4 linked regions of the Kluyveromyces lactis genome follow. The protein of the gene in region 2 purifies or fractionates together with the protein of the main gene of each other region. This does not show direct contact. Links are inferred from orthologs where the notes say so. Each region holds a gene or a part of one and is shown on either strand. Other genes may lie near its edges.

Region 1 (3,807 bases), on a different chromosome or scaffold from region 2:
GGATTCCACGAACTTCACCACACTAGAAATAATCGCCGTGGCCTTAACAAGCATGTCGCCATCGATGGCACGGTGACTAGTTGGTAAAGGCTTATGACCATAAAAATATGACACAAAAGGAACCACAGGTGACCTATCGCCAAGATAAATCTGACTATCCCATAGTTCTTGCATCCAGTTTCTCCGCTCCTGAGAATAACTCAACAACCGCTCCTGCAAAGCAGGGCCTTGGTCTGAAAGAAATGAGTAACATAACTGGATCTGTTTCTCATATTCAGCATCCGTCTGACAAAACGGTTTAATAGACTTCAAATATTTGTCCAAAGTCGATTTCAACTCCGGAATCGGTAAGGATGGCATATCCTGTTGTTTTGAGTAAGTGGCTCCTTTGAACCCAGGTCTCTTCTCCTGATAATACGAATTAGGTCTTTCTGCAATATACTCATCGTTAGTCCCGGTCTCAAAAGGGAACTTCTGATACCCCGAATACTGCATCTTACCAGACATCTGTCTCAATATAGAACTTTTCTTGTTACCTTGACCCATGCGTCTCATCCCCATACTAATACCAGCACTGCTTCTAAATGCCATACTTCTCATCGTCACTGTTGGTGTTGGTATTCACAACGGGTATTTAACTAATAAATAAAATAAATATCACAACAATTGAAACCTTTTATTCTATATCGTGTTCCGCTTTCTTGAGGATGATTTTGGTTGTTTAAACCGGCAAGGAAACCATTTTCGGAACAAACCTATTAAAAGCGAAAGGTGTCCTTAACTTCTGAAATGCAGCTATATATATACTAAATAATACTAGCTCATTTGTACATGGTTTTATTCATAAAAGGCTGAAACTCGAGAAATCCGAATTGCTGATCATTCATTACACAAGAGCCCATTCCGTTATATACGTCCGAACCGAGTGATCATCAACGAACCTGTACCAGTAACTCTCTGCAATCCTGTACCCAAGACGTGCTTCACCTCCACTCTTGGTCCCTGTGGTCATTCGTTTGCTCCAACACTTTTTGATCATCAACTATTTTCTCGCCATAACGGGCTTTTAGGCAGAACCATCATACAAAATCAATTTTCCATTGTCGACATATTTCCATTAAACCTGGGGTAAATAAAATAACACAAATGATATATACACAAGGGAGATGTAGATAATATAGATAACAGTATGTCGGATTATTAGTACCTTAATCAGTCTATTTTGGTCCCTAATCTATTTCCAGTTCCAGCGAAAGTGCTTTTCTTTAACGGGGTTCTCAACCTTCTTCTGGTCACGGGGTCTGTCCTGTTTGATGACGAAACGGGTTTGGAGGTGATGGATAGGACACGTCCTATCCATAGAATGATCGAGGAGAACCATCTTGGTGATCTGAAATGACCTCTTCCAGAGAATCCGTACGCTGGGTCCTTCCCCATCAGATAACCGTACAAGGGACCGTAAGTCCATGTGTCTAGGCAGGAGTAAACGTATCCAGCACAAAACCCGACCATTGTGACGCAAAACCTGCTGTAACCATCGGTCCCGTCATCAAATAAGAACGAAACGAAAAGATGCACTAGCGATAGATATTTACCCAAGATTGGGAATAATCCGTAGAACATTACCTTCACGTTGCTGTTGTCCAGAGTCCACGTATATAGGATCATTCCTATGAATGCGTTAGTGAACACTGGGTATGAGATCTGGCATGCTTCTACGAGCACGACGATCAATGCAAAGTTGAAACATATGTAAAACAAATAATCGATGGATTTGTTGCTGAAGTGCACTAATTCGAGATGTAACGATTTCGAGTATACTGCGTATAGGTCGAAACATGCTTTCATGGCATCGTTTGGTAAGATGAGGAAACTAGTGAACAACCTCCAGATTTGGAACTTGAACAATACACCACGTAAAGACCATTTGAAATCGCTGAAATAGTACGGTAATACGTTCAAGCGTTGGATCAAACATATTAACACCATTAAGAGACATATTCCTCGGGTCACCGGTGGAATTTGTCCTACAAACTGTATCAATTCGTTACGCATAGTCATGGCTGCTATGAATAATCACGCGTATCGTATATCCCACTGATGTTACTGAATGGTACCTCCGGTGTCTATCTTGACAGCGCATCTGTATAGTGAGTATAAATATCTTTCTTTCACTGCAACTTGGAACTGAAATTTCATAGAACCCGAAAATTAAAGCTATGGGAAAGACATAGATAGGAAAGCACAGAATGACAGAAATTGAATAGTTAAGTAATGATCCTCTACACAGGTATACGCCTAGATTTGTTTTCTACTTAGTGCATGGCAGAGCATATGAATTGGTCTAGATAAATTAGGTCAGGACGGCTAGATTGCCCTTATGCAATCATGTTATAGTTATCTATGTATTTCTTTCTGTATCTCGAAGTTTCAATATTTGGAAAAAGCATTAAAACGGAAAAACTTGCTGATGCGATGAGCTGAAGAAAGCAGATAGGCTTTTCACTTACTGAGGTGGTGCTGAGACCGGTTCAAGTTCTGCAGAAGATACAGAGTAGCAGTGTGGATATAGAGTGAAAATGGTGGCAAAGAGTAATCGTGAGATTCTTACCGGTGGTAAATCTTACAAGCAGAAAGCTGCTAAGAAATTCGGTGCTGATGAGGTAAAGTTCGATAAGGACTCACGGTTGGAATACTTAACTGGGTTCCATAAGAGAAAGCTTGATAGACAAAAGAAAGCCAAGGAGTTCATCCAAGAGCAAGAGAGAAAAGCTAGGCTCGAGGAAAGGGCCAAGATCAGAGCAGATAAAAAAAAGGCTCTTGAGAAACAGCTTGAAGATTTTAAACAGGCGATGAAAGATGTCGGTGATTATGTCGGTGTAGAGGACGACGACGAAGAAGCCGAAAATGGGAAACAGGGAAGCGATGAAGAGGCTGAAGAATGGACGGGATTTTCCGATGATAACGGAGATGCAACTGAAGAAGAAGAAGAGGATTCTGACTCTGTTAGTGTGAAACCGATCTTAAAGAAATATGTACAGACTTACTTAGATGATACTACGGTAGACATCGAACCCTTAGAGCCCAATGACAATTTTGAGTACCTTGCGGAATTAAATAATGTGAAGTTAGAGAAATCGGAACAAATTTTAGATCAAAGCATCGAACGTGCGAAGAAATATGCAAAGTTTTTGGGAGTTGAAGAAAAATCTGGTAATAAGAGTAAAAAGAATAAGAAGTTCAGATACTTGACCAAGAACGAGAGAAGACAAAATCAAAGAAAGGCCAACAATAATAAACGTAGGAAGTAATTAACCTTTTTTTTTTATTTATTATCTTCCTCTCTTTCTAAACATCTCATTCATCCATTTTCCCCCCCTCTGTTGTTGCAATGTATTCTACCTCGACTTTAAAGAATAACCAAATCCATCTTCTGATTATCTCTAAAATTTGTAACCAAAAGATGTTTAATTCCCCATAAAATACAGAGTGCCCACTGATATACTCCCAGAACCATACGAATCTCAAAATAAAATCGAGCGCCATAGCGCTATAATACCACGCATTTTTCCGGTACAACAAAATGCTTCTTAAAAGACCGTCCGCTTTGTTACTACTATTATTGTTATTGACACTAGTGTCCCCATTCACAAAATCGAACAGCTCTAGTTTCCAATCCATGGTCACATCCCACCAGAATGAATACGCGGAATTCCAAAACATGAACCAATACATCATTCCAAGTGGGCCCAGGTTGTAATATCTTGTATAGACTGTAACTAGCATGATAGGAATATTACCAGCATA
Region 2 (5,299 bases):
GATCCTTGCAGCAAAGAACCTGAACGATTCTTCCCCATTGAATAAACACTGGACTAATTATACAGATGGTCTTTTCACTTTGGAGGATGTAAATACCATTGAAAGAGAACTGCTTTCGCTGTTTAGTTGGAACTTGAATTTTAGTATGCAGGAATTGGTACAGGCACTTTCTCATTTCTTAGTACCGATCCAATACCAGTTGAGTACCAAGAAATCGATACAGAACCAAGGTGCCAACAAAAATTGTTCACATCTGTTATTCAACGCACCAGTGAGTGGGCAAACAAAAAATTTCCTCAATACAGAAGCGCATTCAAGGTCGTCATCTCACATGTCGATCCCCTCTTTGTCTTCATCGAACACATTGTCTACAATAGACTCGATGGCTTCTTCGTCATCGTCACTAGCATATTCATCATCTTCTGGCTCGTCCTCATCTTCTGGTTCGTCTTTATCCCAAAGCAAACTGAAAGTTATCAGTGAGGAGCCATCCGCAAAGGTCACACCAAGGAAGAAATTTGGTCTAACGAAGCCTATTATGTTGAATTCTAAGTCTTGTACGGACTTTAAAGCATTGCCTGCACATGCAGTCACAAACACAAATAATATATCTTCAAAGTCAGGCTGGGCTTCGATATTCCATTAACGGACGGATTGCCAACACATTGAAGCACGTAGGTGACTATTTGGTATTTGCATTTCTTTCTCTCAACTTTCTATTTCATTCAAACGTACATACTCTCGCACATATATGTATTCATTAATATAATTTGGTTTTACTTCGGAGACCCTGTATTGCTTTGCCTGGCGAAAATATACCATTGCACTACTAGGTCGAATTAAAGATGAATTCAAGACCCAAAATTGGAAGGGATAGCTAAGACTGATGAATCTTTTAACCATATTAAAACCAGTTATCTCAAATATCCTGTTACACGTGATTAATAGATAATATTTAATCTCTACGTAAATTTAGCAACAAGTATTCCTCTGTATTGTAATTTATTACATTTCATTTTGCATCGAAAAAGACCTGTTATGTTTTGTGAAGGTTATGTATCTAACTGTACAAATCATCGTCATCTTCACCAGCGGCATCTCCGAAAGCTGCACCAGAACCCTCAGCACCAGCTTGAGTTGCGGCAGCACCTGAATCATCACCAAACGAGAAGTTGCCGAATTGTCCTCTGGATGCCTTCATCTGTTGAGCATAAGCTTCGTAACGACGAAGCTCAGTATCTGTAACAGAACGCTTGGCTGTTTTCATAGCTTCAGTGAAGTGTTCTTTGGTAATGAATGGAACTGGATCCTCTTGTTGAACGTCTGACATTTCAACGTCTTCTTCTGTCTTGACCTTCTCGGTTTCTTCTGCACCTTCTTCTTTCTTGACAACTTCTGCACGTTTTTGTGCCTCGATGGAATCTTTAATGGCAAACTTCGCAGCTCTCTGTACGATATATAATAAATCTGCACCAGAGAATCCCTGTGTAGCTTGAGCGATGGTCTTTAGATCTAGTCCTGGTTCTAATGGTGTATTTCTTAATTGGGCTGATAGAATAGATAATCTTCCTGTTTCGTCTGGTAATGGAACGTAGATCAATTGATCCAATCTACCAGGTCTTAAAATAGCTGGATCGATTTGATCTGGTCTGTTAGTGGCACCAATAACGAAAACGTTCTTCTTGGCGTTCATACCATCCATTTCGGTCAATAATTGGTTAACCACTCTGTCAGATGCACCACCTGCATCACCTAAAGAACCACCACGAGCCTTAGCAATGGAGTCCAATTCATCTAAGAAAACGACAGTTGGGGCTGCAGCTCTGGCTTTGTCGAAAATATCACGGATATTGGATTCGGACTCACCGTACCACATACTTAATAACTCAGGACCCTTGACCGAAATGAAATTAGCAGACACTTCGGTGGCGACAGCCTTAGCTAACAAAGTCTTACCAGTACCAGGAGGACCGTAGAACAACACACCCTTCGATGGTGACAAACCAAACTTGGTGTATTGATCTGGATGCAAGACTGGATATTCGACGGTTTCCTTCAATTCATCCTTAATTTCATCCAAGCCACCGATATCATCCCATGTGACATTAACAGATTCTACAACGGTTTCACGCAATGCGGATGGGTTGGAGTTACCCAATGCAAATCTGAAGTTGTCCATAGTAACTCCTAATGAGTCCAACACTTCGGCGTCAATTTCGTCTTCATCTAAGTCAATTAGGTCCATCTTTTCACGAATTTGTTGCATAGCAGCTTCAGAACATAGGGAGGCAATATCAGCACCAACATAACCATGGGTTTCAGCGGCCAACTTTTCTAAGTCGACGTCGTCAGCCAACTTCATATTTTTAGTGTGAATACGTAAGACTTCCAATCTACCAGTAACGTCAGGAACACCAATATCGACTTCTCTATCAAATCTACCGAATCTTCTCAAAGCAGGATCGATAGAATTGGGTCTATTGGTGGCTGCAATGACAACGATGTTGGATCTAGCCTTCATACCATCCATTAGAGTCAATAATTGAGAAACGACTCTTCTTTCCACTTCACCGTTAGTCTTGTCACGCTTTGGTGCAATAGAATCAATTTCATCGATAAAAATAATGGCCGGAGCATTCTTTTCTGCTTCTTCGAAAGCCTTTCTCAAGTTGGATTCAGATTCACCAGCCATCTTGGACATGACTTCTGGACCATTGATTAAGAAGAAAAATGCACCTGTCTCGTTAGCCACAGCTCTGGCCATTAGAGTTTTACCGGTACCTGGAGGACCGTACATCAAAATACCCTTCGGAGGTTTGATACCAATGGCCTTAAATAGTTGTGGGTGTCTCAATGGCAATTCGACCAATTCTCTAATTTGAGCCATTTGCTTACGACAACCACCAATATCATCATAACCGACTTCATTGATGTTATTTTCTTCATCTTCTCTGTTAATTGGCTCACCTTCACTATGAATGACAGTATCTTGGGCAACAACACCGTACTCTTCAGGCTCAACGTCTACGACCTTGAACTCTACTTGTCTCATACCACCTCTAACGATAAAGTGGTCACCTTTTCTAACCGGTCTATAAGCTTCGACAAAGTATGGCTTCAAGTACACATCAAATAGATTACCAGTCAACCCCTCGATGGTGTCAGCGATTGGCAACACTGAGATTCTGGAAGCATACTTGATATCGGTACATGGATGGATAGTGACCAAATCACCGAGTCTTATTCTCAAGTTGTTACGAATAACACGGTTTACTCTACAGACACCATCTTCCAGTTCGTCATCAATCATAACAATCAAAACGGTGTCCTTTCTCTTCTTACCCTTGACTAAAACGGTGTCACCACGGAACAATTGTAAAAGATCCATAGTGTTAGAATTGATAGCAATGATAGAATTGTCATCGTTAACTGCATCATCGACCAGTAACATGTTTTGCTTCTTCTTTCTTCTCAAGATGGCAGTGGCGGTAGCATCATCTGCGTCAGCTGCAGTGCCAGAACTATCTAACAATTTCTTATGTTCTTCTGGCATGTTCTCTTAATAACTGAGGTGAAAAGTTGTTTTAAAGATACTGTAATTCCTTCTGGTAGGATCCACGATGTAATTAAGCTCTTGGTAAACAGGATATGCAGGTTTCTTGATTAACTTCTGAAATTGGACCTTATTTCTTCTTATTTCAACCAAAAGACGGAAGATAAAACAAAAATTAAATAACTTGATCTAACCCCTAATCTGGTGATTCAATGATTCAATTAAAGGAGACAATTATTGTAAATCCCTGGTGAGTGCTTTATTTAATCTAGCGTTCACTTACTGGTGTTAATCCTGAAAATAACCTTCAAGGATCACCGAAAATAGTGTGCAATACTTATATATAATAAATCGCTTCCCTCTTTATAATCTAGAGATTTCAGAATTTGCCACCGGATATGTGAAATTTCGGCCGGGTAACAATATTTTTTCATCTCCTCTCTAAGAAGATCCCTCCCACAATGCGAATGAGCTATTGGATTCCTTATGTGAATGGTAAGTAGAAATTGGTACAGTAGGAAATATGTAGTTATAATATATATGAGACGATCTCAATGATCATCTTCGTTAGCTTCGTCAGCTTCGTCAGCTTCGTCATCTTCGTCATATCTTGGTCTCTTTCATTGCGAAAAAGATCGCGCTTAGGTTTCTAGTTTGGCAAGCAACTTTTTATGCATTTCACTCAGCTTAGCAAAATCAGTTTCCTGTGCAGGCCAACCTACGATTAATCCAGCATCCTTTGTTTTCTTTGGGATCAAATGGAAATGCACGTGATCTACTTCTTGATGGGCTATTCTACCGTTGTTTTGAAGGACATTGTACCCTGGACCATCAGGACCATCTTGGTCGAAGCCAATGGCTTTCACTAACTTCTTAGTAACTGGCAACAGGTCAGCTAAGTATTCATCTGGGATGTTGTGCAATTTCCCACCGTGGTGCTTTGGAATGATAAGAATGTGGTTCTCTTCAGTTGGTTGGATGTCAAGGAACGAGTAAGAATACTGAGTTTCAACCAATTTGAAAGAAGGGATTTCACCTGAAAGTACACCAGTAGTGGAATCTGTTAGTATTATAGTTCATAAGATCAAAGAGCTAGTCTAAGCCACTTGGGTGGTTGCGAGCATGCAAAAACCAAGGGGAGAAACAGATATTTGTTCTCACCTAACAATTTGAGGTTTACATACCTTTGATAATCTTGCAGAAAATACAAGCAGCGTCGTGGGCAACAGCACTCATTGGTATCGGCTTATTAAACGTTTGAATTCACACGTATCGGTACTTATTGCAATATTTCTTTCGACTGCGAAAATGTTGGAGAATCTGCAACTAATTGGAGTTCAGTCTTTTTTCATCATTATACATTTGTGTATTGGCCCTTATATATATGTTCTTATGATATAAAAAAAAACCAAGTTCTAGAAAACTAGAATAGTTGGTGACACGACATGAGAATCATGATTCGGAGTGGTTCTCGTACTAATGTAGGGCACGACATTCCAACTAATGATTGTTTCTGGTTTAATGGTAGACAATACTAGAACCTATCTTTAGGGTATCTGCCTTAATTCTTTTCTAGATTTGCTGTATATTTGTTAATTATTCTTGTCCAATTTATTATAATTGTTCCAGAGGTGCCCTTTCAAAGTGGAAATGTTGTAATTCCTTTACAAAAGTTATATATAGGGATTGTGTTGGGAGCCGTTACTATTGAACGAATGAAACCTGAGATTATAAAGCGCTACCAGA
Region 3 (3,916 bases), on a different chromosome or scaffold from region 2:
GGAGTTGTTGCCAAGGTTAAGAGATGTATCATGGAAAGAGACCTATATCCAAGAAGATGGGGTCTTGGTCCAATTGCCCAAAAGAAAAAACAAATGAAGGCTGACGGTAAGCTAGACAAATATGGCCGTGCCAACGAAAATACTCCAGAGACCTGGAAGAAGACTTACGTTTCATTGGAGAATGCTGAACCAACTACCGCCCCTGCATCCAAATCAGAAGAAAAACCACTGATCAAAGAAGTAGAAAAGAAGGAAGTCGAACAGAAGGAAGAATCAAAGGAAGAATCAAAGACACCAGAAGAAAAGAAGGACAAGAAGGAAAAGAAGGAGAAGAAGGACAAGAAGGAGAAAAAGGAAAAGAAGGAGAAGAAGGAGAAGAAGAGAAAGGCTGACGATGATGAGTCTTCCGAGAAGAAGAAGAAGAAGTCAAAGAAATAAACGACTACAATCTAAGTCCTTCATATCATCGATCGAAATTTCAAAACTGCATAGAGTTTATCATTTAGGTTATGTACACTGTAGAATATTTTTAATCATTGAAAAACGTATTTCGTCACGACTGTTTTTTGTACCCTGTGTCGATGTTGTATATCATTGTATTCGTATATATAAATTTGTAAATTATTTATGCGCGTGTGAAGACACCATTACGTCTTCAATTGAAGTAATGGCAAAAAGTAATGGTAAATGTATGAGGTAGATAGAAGATTTGATAATAATACTTGGAGTTTTTTTTTTTTTGGCAGACATCAATTGTTCGGAACCAAATAGAAGTCGGGAAACTTGCAGATTGGTATGTCTTTTATTTGCATGATGTCATTTGCTCAATAAAAAGGTAAATGAAGGTTAAAATCTATGCAAATGGTTACATTGTGAACAGAAGTCGAGGTGTCACAATGAAACGTCCCGTTTCTTACTTTACCAGTATTAACAATCATTGAATAATTCTCCTTGTATTCTCTCGCATATTATATTGCGTCCTCAACTTATGTTGCGTGCTTCATTTACCGAAGGATATTTTTTTGAAAATAGTGTACAGTGTGGTCAGAAAGTTAACGCATTAATCGACAGACAATGTAGCCATACGATAAGATTGCTTCTGCTGAAGTGAATGTGAATGGAACATTTGAATTGGAAATAATTAATGGGAGTAAACATTTAAAGAAATGAAAACATATGACATAGAACCATAATGGTGGGAAGATAATATTTCTGGCAGACGTTGAATTGTAAACATGATCACCGTCAGAAGTCTAAATTTGCAATCGTCATGTCATACTTTTATGATTTATTTTCGTTATAAAGACATTCTTCATCTTTCATTCAGAAGTTATCCATAATGGCTTGTCTTTGTTGAGGTGTTAAAGAGGTTGGATAATCGATCTTGAACTTAATAATCAAATCACCTCTTTGGGAAGGATTCTTTGACAGTGTCATACCTTGTCCGGGATATGTTGAGGTTTGAGTAGGTTGAATTGGCTGCGTTCTTGTGATTGGAATTGTTTTACCGTCGATGGTTTGTACTTGCTTGGAGAAACCTAGAAGAGATTCTTTGAAAGAAAGTGGTAAAGTGTAAATCAAATCATTGTCTTGTCTGGTGAAAAATTCGTGTGGTTTTTCCTGTAGAACGAATTGTAATGTTTGTCTACCACCAGTTCTTGGATTATAGTCACCTTCACCTTTGAAAGTAATCTTGGTACCTGCTTTCCAACCTGGTTTCAATTGGATGTCAATTTGGTTCTTTTCGGACACACCACCGGCGCCTTTTCTTGTGATCTTGAATGATTTCTTCTTACCGCTGAATAAATCTTCTAAGGACACAGGTAGATTGACCTGAACAACTTCTTCTTCAGGTCTAGCCTGTTGTCTACTGAATCCACCTGGCATTCCACCTGGCATTCCACCTGGCATACCGCCTGGCATGCCGCCCGAAGAGGAATGGAAACTACTGCCTCCAAACCCGAAATCATCACCAGACCCGCCGCTAGCAGAGAATCCAAATGGAGAAGCACCTCCGGCAGCACCTCCTCCACCAAAGAACTGTGAAAAGATGTTGAAAGCGTCATCTTGTGAGAACGCATGTCCCCCGGCAAACCCACCAGAAGAAAATCCTCCAGGCCCACCAGGCCCACCAGGCCCTCCCGCTCCTCCAAATTGAGGAGCATTACCACGAGCAGCCTCTAGACCATAAGTATCGTAAACTTCCCTCTTCTGAGCATCTGAAAGAATCTCAAAAGCCTCAGAGATTTCTTTAAACTTCTCAGTGTCACCTGTAGGCTTATCTGGATGATACTTCAAGGCAGCCTTTCTGTACCCTTTTTTAATCTCGGCTTCACCTGCACTAGGCGAAATTCCTAGCAAATCATATAATTTAGTGTCCTTAACCATACTCCTACGACGTTTCAAATTTGGTAATTGTCCTTTTGTATATATGTCGAATGATAGTTCAAATTAGCTCTATCTAAACTAGAAGAATTAGAGTAAACTAAAAGAATCAGTTAATGTTTACACTGTTTCGAGATACCAATGGGACAAAAGATGCAATAAAACTCTTCTCTAAACATGTCGATCGAATACCAACGACCAATAATCTTTGAACGAAAAACATCCTGTTCTTTGAAAACCTTTATATAACATTTCATTCCTATATATTCAGGTTCAGTTCTGTTGCAACCGATCATGTTCTTTCAGAGTATACCCTGGAACCTTCTAGAAGTAAAAAAACATGAATGCTTTAAGCACGCGAGATTCATGTGACAATCACGTGATATAGAAGTTTCCCACCAATACAAATCTGTCATCACAAAGCCGCAAATCAGGTGTCATTCAATGACATTAGCCACTACACAATCTTGTGGCTATCTCTATGCCTCCACTTTTGTTTCAATTGCTGTTGTTTATATCTCAATCATGAATATTGACAAATTATGGTTTAATGTGATAAAGAATATGCAATATACTAGATGAAAGAAAGTCTTAAGGAATCTGAGGAGTTTTCAAGGCTTTTTCTCCCCTGTGAACAAGGTAGAGGTTTCTTATTGTGTACGGTCAGACTAACTTCAATATTGCCATGTCTGTTATTCTAGCGAGTGCTGGATACGACCACACAATTAGGTTCTGGGAAGCTTTGACTGGAGTCTGTTCACGAACCATTCAACATGCAGATTCCCAAGTGAATCGATTAGAGATTACGTCCGATAAGAAATATTTGGCTGCTGCTGGTCATTTACACGTCCGTCTTTATGATATACGGTCGAATAATCCAAATCCGGTGTCCTCTTTCGAAGGCCATAAAGGGAACGTAACGTCGATTGCATTTCAACAGGAAAATCGATGGATGGTATCGTCTAGTGAAGATGGGACTATTAAGGTTTGGGATGTACGGTCCCCATCTGTGCAAAGGAATTACAAGCATAATGCACCTGTCAATGAAGTAGCGATACATCCGAACCAAGGGGAATTGATTTCCTGCGATCAGGATGGGAATATCAGGATTTGGGATCTTGGTGAAAACCAGTGCACAAACCAGCTGACACCAGAAGATAACACGCCATTACAGTCGTTGTCCGTTGCAAGCGACGGATCGATGCTTGTTGCAGGAAATAACAAAGGGAACTGTTATGTATGGAAGATGCCTCATCACACGGATGCTTCCACTTTGGAGCCCGTAACTAAATTCAAATCGCATACTAAATATATTACCAGGGTCCTACTATCGGCGGATGTAAAACATTTAGCAACATGTTCAGCAGACCATACAGCTAGAGTATGGAATATAGAGGATAATTTTGAACTTGAAACCACTTTAGATGGTCATCAGAGATGGGTGTGGGATTGTGCGTTTTCAGCAGACAGTGCATACCTAGTCACAGCATGCTCTGATCATTATGTAAGATTATGGGACCTTTCCACAAGT
Region 4 (5,206 bases), on a different chromosome or scaffold from region 2:
ACAACAAAAAACAATTAAACTAGCAATAATGCAGTTAAGCTATGCTTAGTTGTTTGAACAAACTTCCAATCTATTCAAACTACCTGTCAAACGGATGTCACACTGATAATCAAGCTCTGTCTATCACTTCGAATGCACAATGAGATGAGATGAGATGAGATGAGCTTGCCGTTTGGAAAATTTTCCCACTACTGCAAACCTTTGAAAAGAAAAAAAAAATTGTGCTTTCAGGATTTCTTTTTCGTATGGATCTCAGAATTGACCGTTAAAGGCATACACATTGGTTATGTCACGTGACTAAAGCACTTTCTTTTGAGACTGTCGGGGTAACAATATATTTTACTGTTAAAATGTATGTGAACATTTTATTTACGGTTTACGTTTCAACTTTCAATATATACAGAAATATCAATGAGATTTTGATCTGAAAGAATACAGCTTGAGTCCAATCTCTAGATTCATTATAACTTTCTAATCACTACCTGATAATTGCCTAATTTCCGGTAGAATTGCCTTATCCGCCTTTTTTTTTTGAATTTTTCTCTTCAAATATAGATTTGTTTCGTTACTATGTCGGAACCAAGCCCACAATCTACGATAGCCATTGCCAATCTACTCAGGACTCATAGCGACTTGAAGCAAAGACAAGGATTGTTCCAATCGCGTTTAGTTGACTTCTTCCGTTATAAAAGATTTGTTAGAGCTTTGAAAAGTGATAAATATAAGGCAAAGTCCAAAAAACAACCCGAATTGTACCCCGCTGTGACAAGCGATGAAGATGCTCGTAACATTTTTGTTTCCTTAATCAAGGCCCAATTTGTCGTACCAGCGGTTAAATTACATTCTGCAGAATGTAAAGAACATGGTCTAAAGCCAAACAAATCATATCCAAACTTATTATTATCGAATAAAGCGACTCTACAACCAGATGAATATTACGTCTGGTCTTATAATCCAAAATCAATTTATGATTACTTGACTGTGATCGGTATCATAGTCGGTGTGCTAGCATTCGTGTGTTACCCATTATGGCCTCCATATATGAAACGTGGTACTTACTACTTATCCATTGCAGCATTGGCACTTATCGGTGTATTCTTTGGTATTGCAATTGTGAGATTGATAGTTTACTTGTTGTCATTAGCTGCAGTTAGCGAGAAGGGTGGGTTCTGGCTCTTCCCAAACTTGTTCGAAGATTGCGGTGTTATAGAAAGTTTCAAACCGCTATATGGATTTGGTGAAAAGGAATGCTATAGCTTCCTGAAGAAAGAAAAGAGAAAGCATAGATCAGTTGCAAAGAAGCAAAAATAACTTCAATGTAACGGACTTCCATCCCAGACTGTACATTAGCAATTTAACTATCACAGAAGGTGTATGTTCATTCTTTCGGTGAGAATCACATACTAATATCACATATAAACATACAAACATATATAAATATAGATATATGTACTCATACTAATATCAGTAGTGACATCTTTGGTTTCTGACACTAGAAATCACCTTCTTTTAAAGTTTTATTTTGCATGAATTGATTTAAGGTCAAGTAAGAAAATGAAAAACGCAGCAACAGTAATGAAAACAGTAATGAAAGCAGAAGTTGCAAACAGTTAGAAAAATAATGCCAACAGGATACCACTCGCTTCCAATCCTAGTATAGGTATTATAACTGAGCGAACGGCCGCACCACAATATTACAAACTTCTGCAACATGTCACAGAAGGAAATATCGCAGAATTCTAATAGAAGAAGCTCTAAATATGAAGATGAGTTGAGCAACGATGCCCCGTTTGAAATTTCATCACATCAGTTGGAGTCAAGTACAACTTTAACAGATGTTCAAATGAGTAACCTTCTACAAAGGCATTCTTCTCATCGTCGTGATAGGTCGAGAGATCATATGTTTTATTCTCATTTGACACAACAATCATACTCTCTCAACAGAAACAGTCTTCTCGATTCCATTACCGTGGTCAGGCCTTTGATCAACGATTTGATCACTGAAAATAATCAAAGAGCCATCTATATTCCAGAGCATTCTGAATCTTTGGACGTATTGGAACTTAAAGTCAAACTAGATGGTAGGGAGAATATGCAACTTGATAAGAGTGCTTTGGCGCAGTTATTCAAAACACAAGCGTTATCTGCGATTGACCATTTGATTAATTTACAAACTCGTGTACAGGATACTTCTTCAAAAGTTTTCATAACAGGCGATTTGAACTCAGGAAAATCTACGTTATGTAACGCATTTTTGAGAAAGAAGGTTTTGCCTGAGGATCAATTGCCTTGTACCAATGTATTCTGTGAAATTTTAGAAGCGAGAGAGAACGGAAATATGGAAAGAGTCCATGCCATTCCCAAGACCGTGGCAACTAACGTTAAGGATGCATCCGTATTATACGACATGAGAGACAGATCGACTTATGAAGATTATACTCTCGATAAGCTAGATCAATTGGTTTATGATAATGATCACTATATCTTGTTGAAGATATATATTAAAGATGATAAAAGGCCGGTTGACTCTAGTTTGTTGAGAAACGGAACTGCAGATATATCTCTTATTGACTCTCCTGGGCTTAATATGGATTCAGTGAAAACAACTGAAGTGATGTCTAGGCAAGAAGAGATTGATCTTGTAGTATTTGTCGTCAATGCCGAAAATCAATTAACATTATCTGCTAGAGAATTCATTACTATGGCTTCAAGGGAGAAGAAATTAATGTTCTTCGTGATCAACAAGTTTGATCATATCAAGGACAAAGACAGATGCAAGAAGCTGATTCTAGATCAGATCAAGGAAATTTCTCCAGAAACTTATAAGCAGAATAGTGAATTTGTACACTTTGTTACCAGTCATGGTAAAATACCCCATGAAGGCGAAAATCGCCCTGATGGAGGAGATGACCCAAATGGAGACATGCCAAACCCTCCAAAAGAAGATCCTGATTTCGATAAATTAGAGGACAATTTGCGTAATTTCGTCTTCAAGAAAAGATCACTCTCGAAACTTTTACCAGCAAAAACTTATCTAATAAAGCTATTGAAGGATCTTGAAAGGATATCACAATGTAATCTTGAAAAATATAAAGAGGAAGACTATCATTTGAATGCCCTTCTAATTGATTTGCAACCGGAACTCCACGATGTTACCAATCGCTGTTCTGAGCTTATCGAATCAATTGATAAAATTTGCGAATTTACCACAAAGGAAGTATATGGATACACAAAAATGCAAATTAACAAAGCGTTAATACTAAAGCCTGCTGAATTCCCTCCATATTCTGGTCTTTCTGGCATTTATGACTATGTTCAACGAGTTAGAACTTTCATCGTGGACCAAATTTTAGCCAGCGTACAAGTCAGTGAAGCATATGCTAAGAACAGCGCAGAACAATCAGTTTCTCAAATAAACGCATTAGCGAAGGAACAACTAGGTGATGAATTTATGGCGGGCAAGGTTTTCAAGAGTGGTTTGATGTTCACCAAGAAAAAGCATAATTTAAGCAAAAAATTGAATATTCCATTAGAATTGCATAACTTTTTGGATCCATCTGTTGAAGGATTTATCTCTTACCTATCCTGGGGTCTCGTTAAACCAACACCGAAAATTACTAACGAAGAGAATACTTTGACTACCAAAAGCTCATGGTCGCAATCCCTTGCATTAACATCATATTCTGTTTCACAGTATTGGACCAACCCATCGTTAATCTTTACTTCAAAGATCCCAACATTACTGGTCTATTCCTTTGGGGGTTCTAAAATGATAACAAATATCGTGCTTCATGGCTCAAGGTTTTTCTCTTTAGAATCCTTGAAAAAATTGTCTGGATCGTTGATACTGCTAGGGGGAGTCTTAGGAATAGCCTATTTAATTCACGACTTACCAAGAGCGCTACCGATGAAGTTATCCTTGAAATATAAGCTACGATTACAAGAAATCGATTATGCGCATAATAACGCTGACCGTATCTCGAAAGAAGTATCACAGGTGTTCAAATACCCAACCAGAGAAGTGGTAAAAGCGTGTGAGTTAATTGTTGATAAAAAGACTTCCCAAAAGAAAGAAGTAGAATGCAAAGTAAGGGATAACGCAATGAGTATTGAATTTTTCCAGGCGTTATTATCCAAGTCACAGAAACAGAGAGGTACTGTGGAATCGATCAATTTGGAAGTAGATTGATTAAATGGATCTATGGGCATTACAGGACCCTAAAGAACAGAATCATTCTTCTATCTGAAACCATATATAATTATTCCCATATGATAGTTTTTCATGTAAATATTTCATTACTGCTGCGGATCCGAACCAACTAAACATATTTACAACCTTACTTTCGGTCCCCTTTCCCCTCCATGGCTCATGCGAGACCCTTCGTTCATAACCTCCGGATCCTTCGGCTGATATTTTTACGGTCCGAAAATCAAACACCTGTAGCATCACCAGAACCCATTTCAAATGCGAAATATATAAAGATGGAAACAGAATCAAGGAACGAGCCACAGATATTCTGACTTATTTTATTTATCTTCATAAAATTGGTTATATACTTTGGTAATATTTTTCGTCTACCCTATTTGTGTACTGACACAACGACGTTGTCTCTTATCTAATAAACGTTGACAATAATGGTGAACTTATTATTCAACCCACTGCACTGGGGTTACAATGGTACTGTAACTCAACATATCGGTGAAAAAGGAACAATCAAGTTGCAAAAGAAAGATGGATCCGAGGCTCAATTGCATGAATTAATCTCCGAAGAGGTTACTGGATTGAGCGATGGCAGCAAATTTCAATTAAGTCCACTAATCTTTACTGGTATTTTACAAACCATGTATTTGGCAGGTGGTGATTTCAGCAAGAAATTCAATGTATTTTACGGTAGAGAACTGTTTGAGATGTCTGATCATGGGATTGCCAGTATTGATTGGGTTAGAAATGACTGGAAGAAACTGTACGAACTAGACCCTGCCACCGGTACATACAATAAAGAGAAACTAGCTGAGGATGGTAAAAAGACACATCCTGAAGGCTGGCCTCGTTTGCATCCACGTACTAGATACATGGATGACGAAGAAAAAGAGTCTGTTTTGAACGATACAAGTAAGCCATTGATCATTGTTATGCATGGTTTGGCTGGTGGTAGCCATGAACCAATCATCAGATCATTAACGGAGCAACTTTCAAATATCTCTA

Evidence for each region.
Region 1: the proteins of CDC48 (region 2) and DFM1 purify together in Saccharomyces cerevisiae (affinity purification with western blotting; 4 studies listed by BioGRID, with this or other methods). This does not show direct contact. The link is inferred for Kluyveromyces lactis from reciprocal best matches to the Saccharomyces cerevisiae genes CDC48 and DFM1.
Region 3: the proteins of CDC48 (region 2) and SIS1 purify together in Saccharomyces cerevisiae (affinity purification with mass spectrometry; 3 studies listed by BioGRID). This does not show direct contact. The link is inferred for Kluyveromyces lactis from reciprocal best matches to the Saccharomyces cerevisiae genes CDC48 and SIS1.
Region 4: the proteins of CDC48 (region 2) and FZO1 purify together in Saccharomyces cerevisiae (affinity purification with western blotting; 6 studies listed by BioGRID, with this or other methods). This does not show direct contact. The link is inferred for Kluyveromyces lactis from reciprocal best matches to the Saccharomyces cerevisiae genes CDC48 and FZO1.

Annotation. Positions count from the first base shown.
Region 1 is NC_006037.1:186,925-190,731, reverse strand, and holds DFM1 (Dfm1p), read right to left. Parts: upstream 2,062-3,807; coding exon 1,213-2,061; downstream 1-1,212. Other genes in the region: carnitine O-acetyltransferase CAT2, read right to left, coding at 1-600; rRNA-processing protein RRP17, read left to right, coding at 2,580-3,311; ERD1 (Erd1p), read right to left, coding at 3,358-3,807. UniProt on the Saccharomyces cerevisiae protein: May be involved in the degradation process of some misfolded endoplasmic reticulum (ER) luminal proteins.
Region 2 is NC_006042.1:552,346-557,644, forward strand, and holds CDC48 (AAA family ATPase CDC48), read right to left. Parts: upstream 3,554-5,299; coding exon 1,061-3,553; downstream 1-1,060. Other genes in the region: cyclin PCL2, read left to right, coding at 1-646; HNT1 (adenosine 5'-monophosphoramidase), read right to left, coding at 4,195-4,589, 4,738-4,789. UniProt on the Saccharomyces cerevisiae protein: ATP-dependent chaperone which probably uses the energy provided by ATP hydrolysis to generate mechanical force to unfold substrate proteins, disassemble protein complexes, and disaggregate protein aggregates.
Region 3 is NC_006040.1:410,292-414,207, forward strand, and holds SIS1 (type II HSP40 co-chaperone SIS1), read right to left. Parts: upstream 2,389-3,916; coding exon 1,324-2,388; downstream 1-1,323. Other genes in the region: pseudouridine synthase CBF5, read left to right, coding at 1-438; TOR complex subunit LST8, read left to right, coding at 3,071-3,916. UniProt on the Saccharomyces cerevisiae protein: Required for nuclear migration during mitosis. It is required for the normal initiation of translation. Might mediate the dissociation of a specific protein complex of the translation machinery. Essential for viability.
Region 4 is NC_006041.1:2,152,741-2,157,946, forward strand, and holds FZO1 (mitofusin), read left to right. Parts: upstream 1-1,711; coding exon 1,712-4,189; downstream 4,190-5,206. Other genes in the region: Sec63 complex subunit SEC62, read left to right, coding at 571-1,311; EEB1 (medium-chain fatty acid ethyl ester synthase/esterase), read left to right, coding at 4,636-5,206. UniProt on the Saccharomyces cerevisiae protein: Essential transmembrane GTPase, which mediates mitochondrial fusion.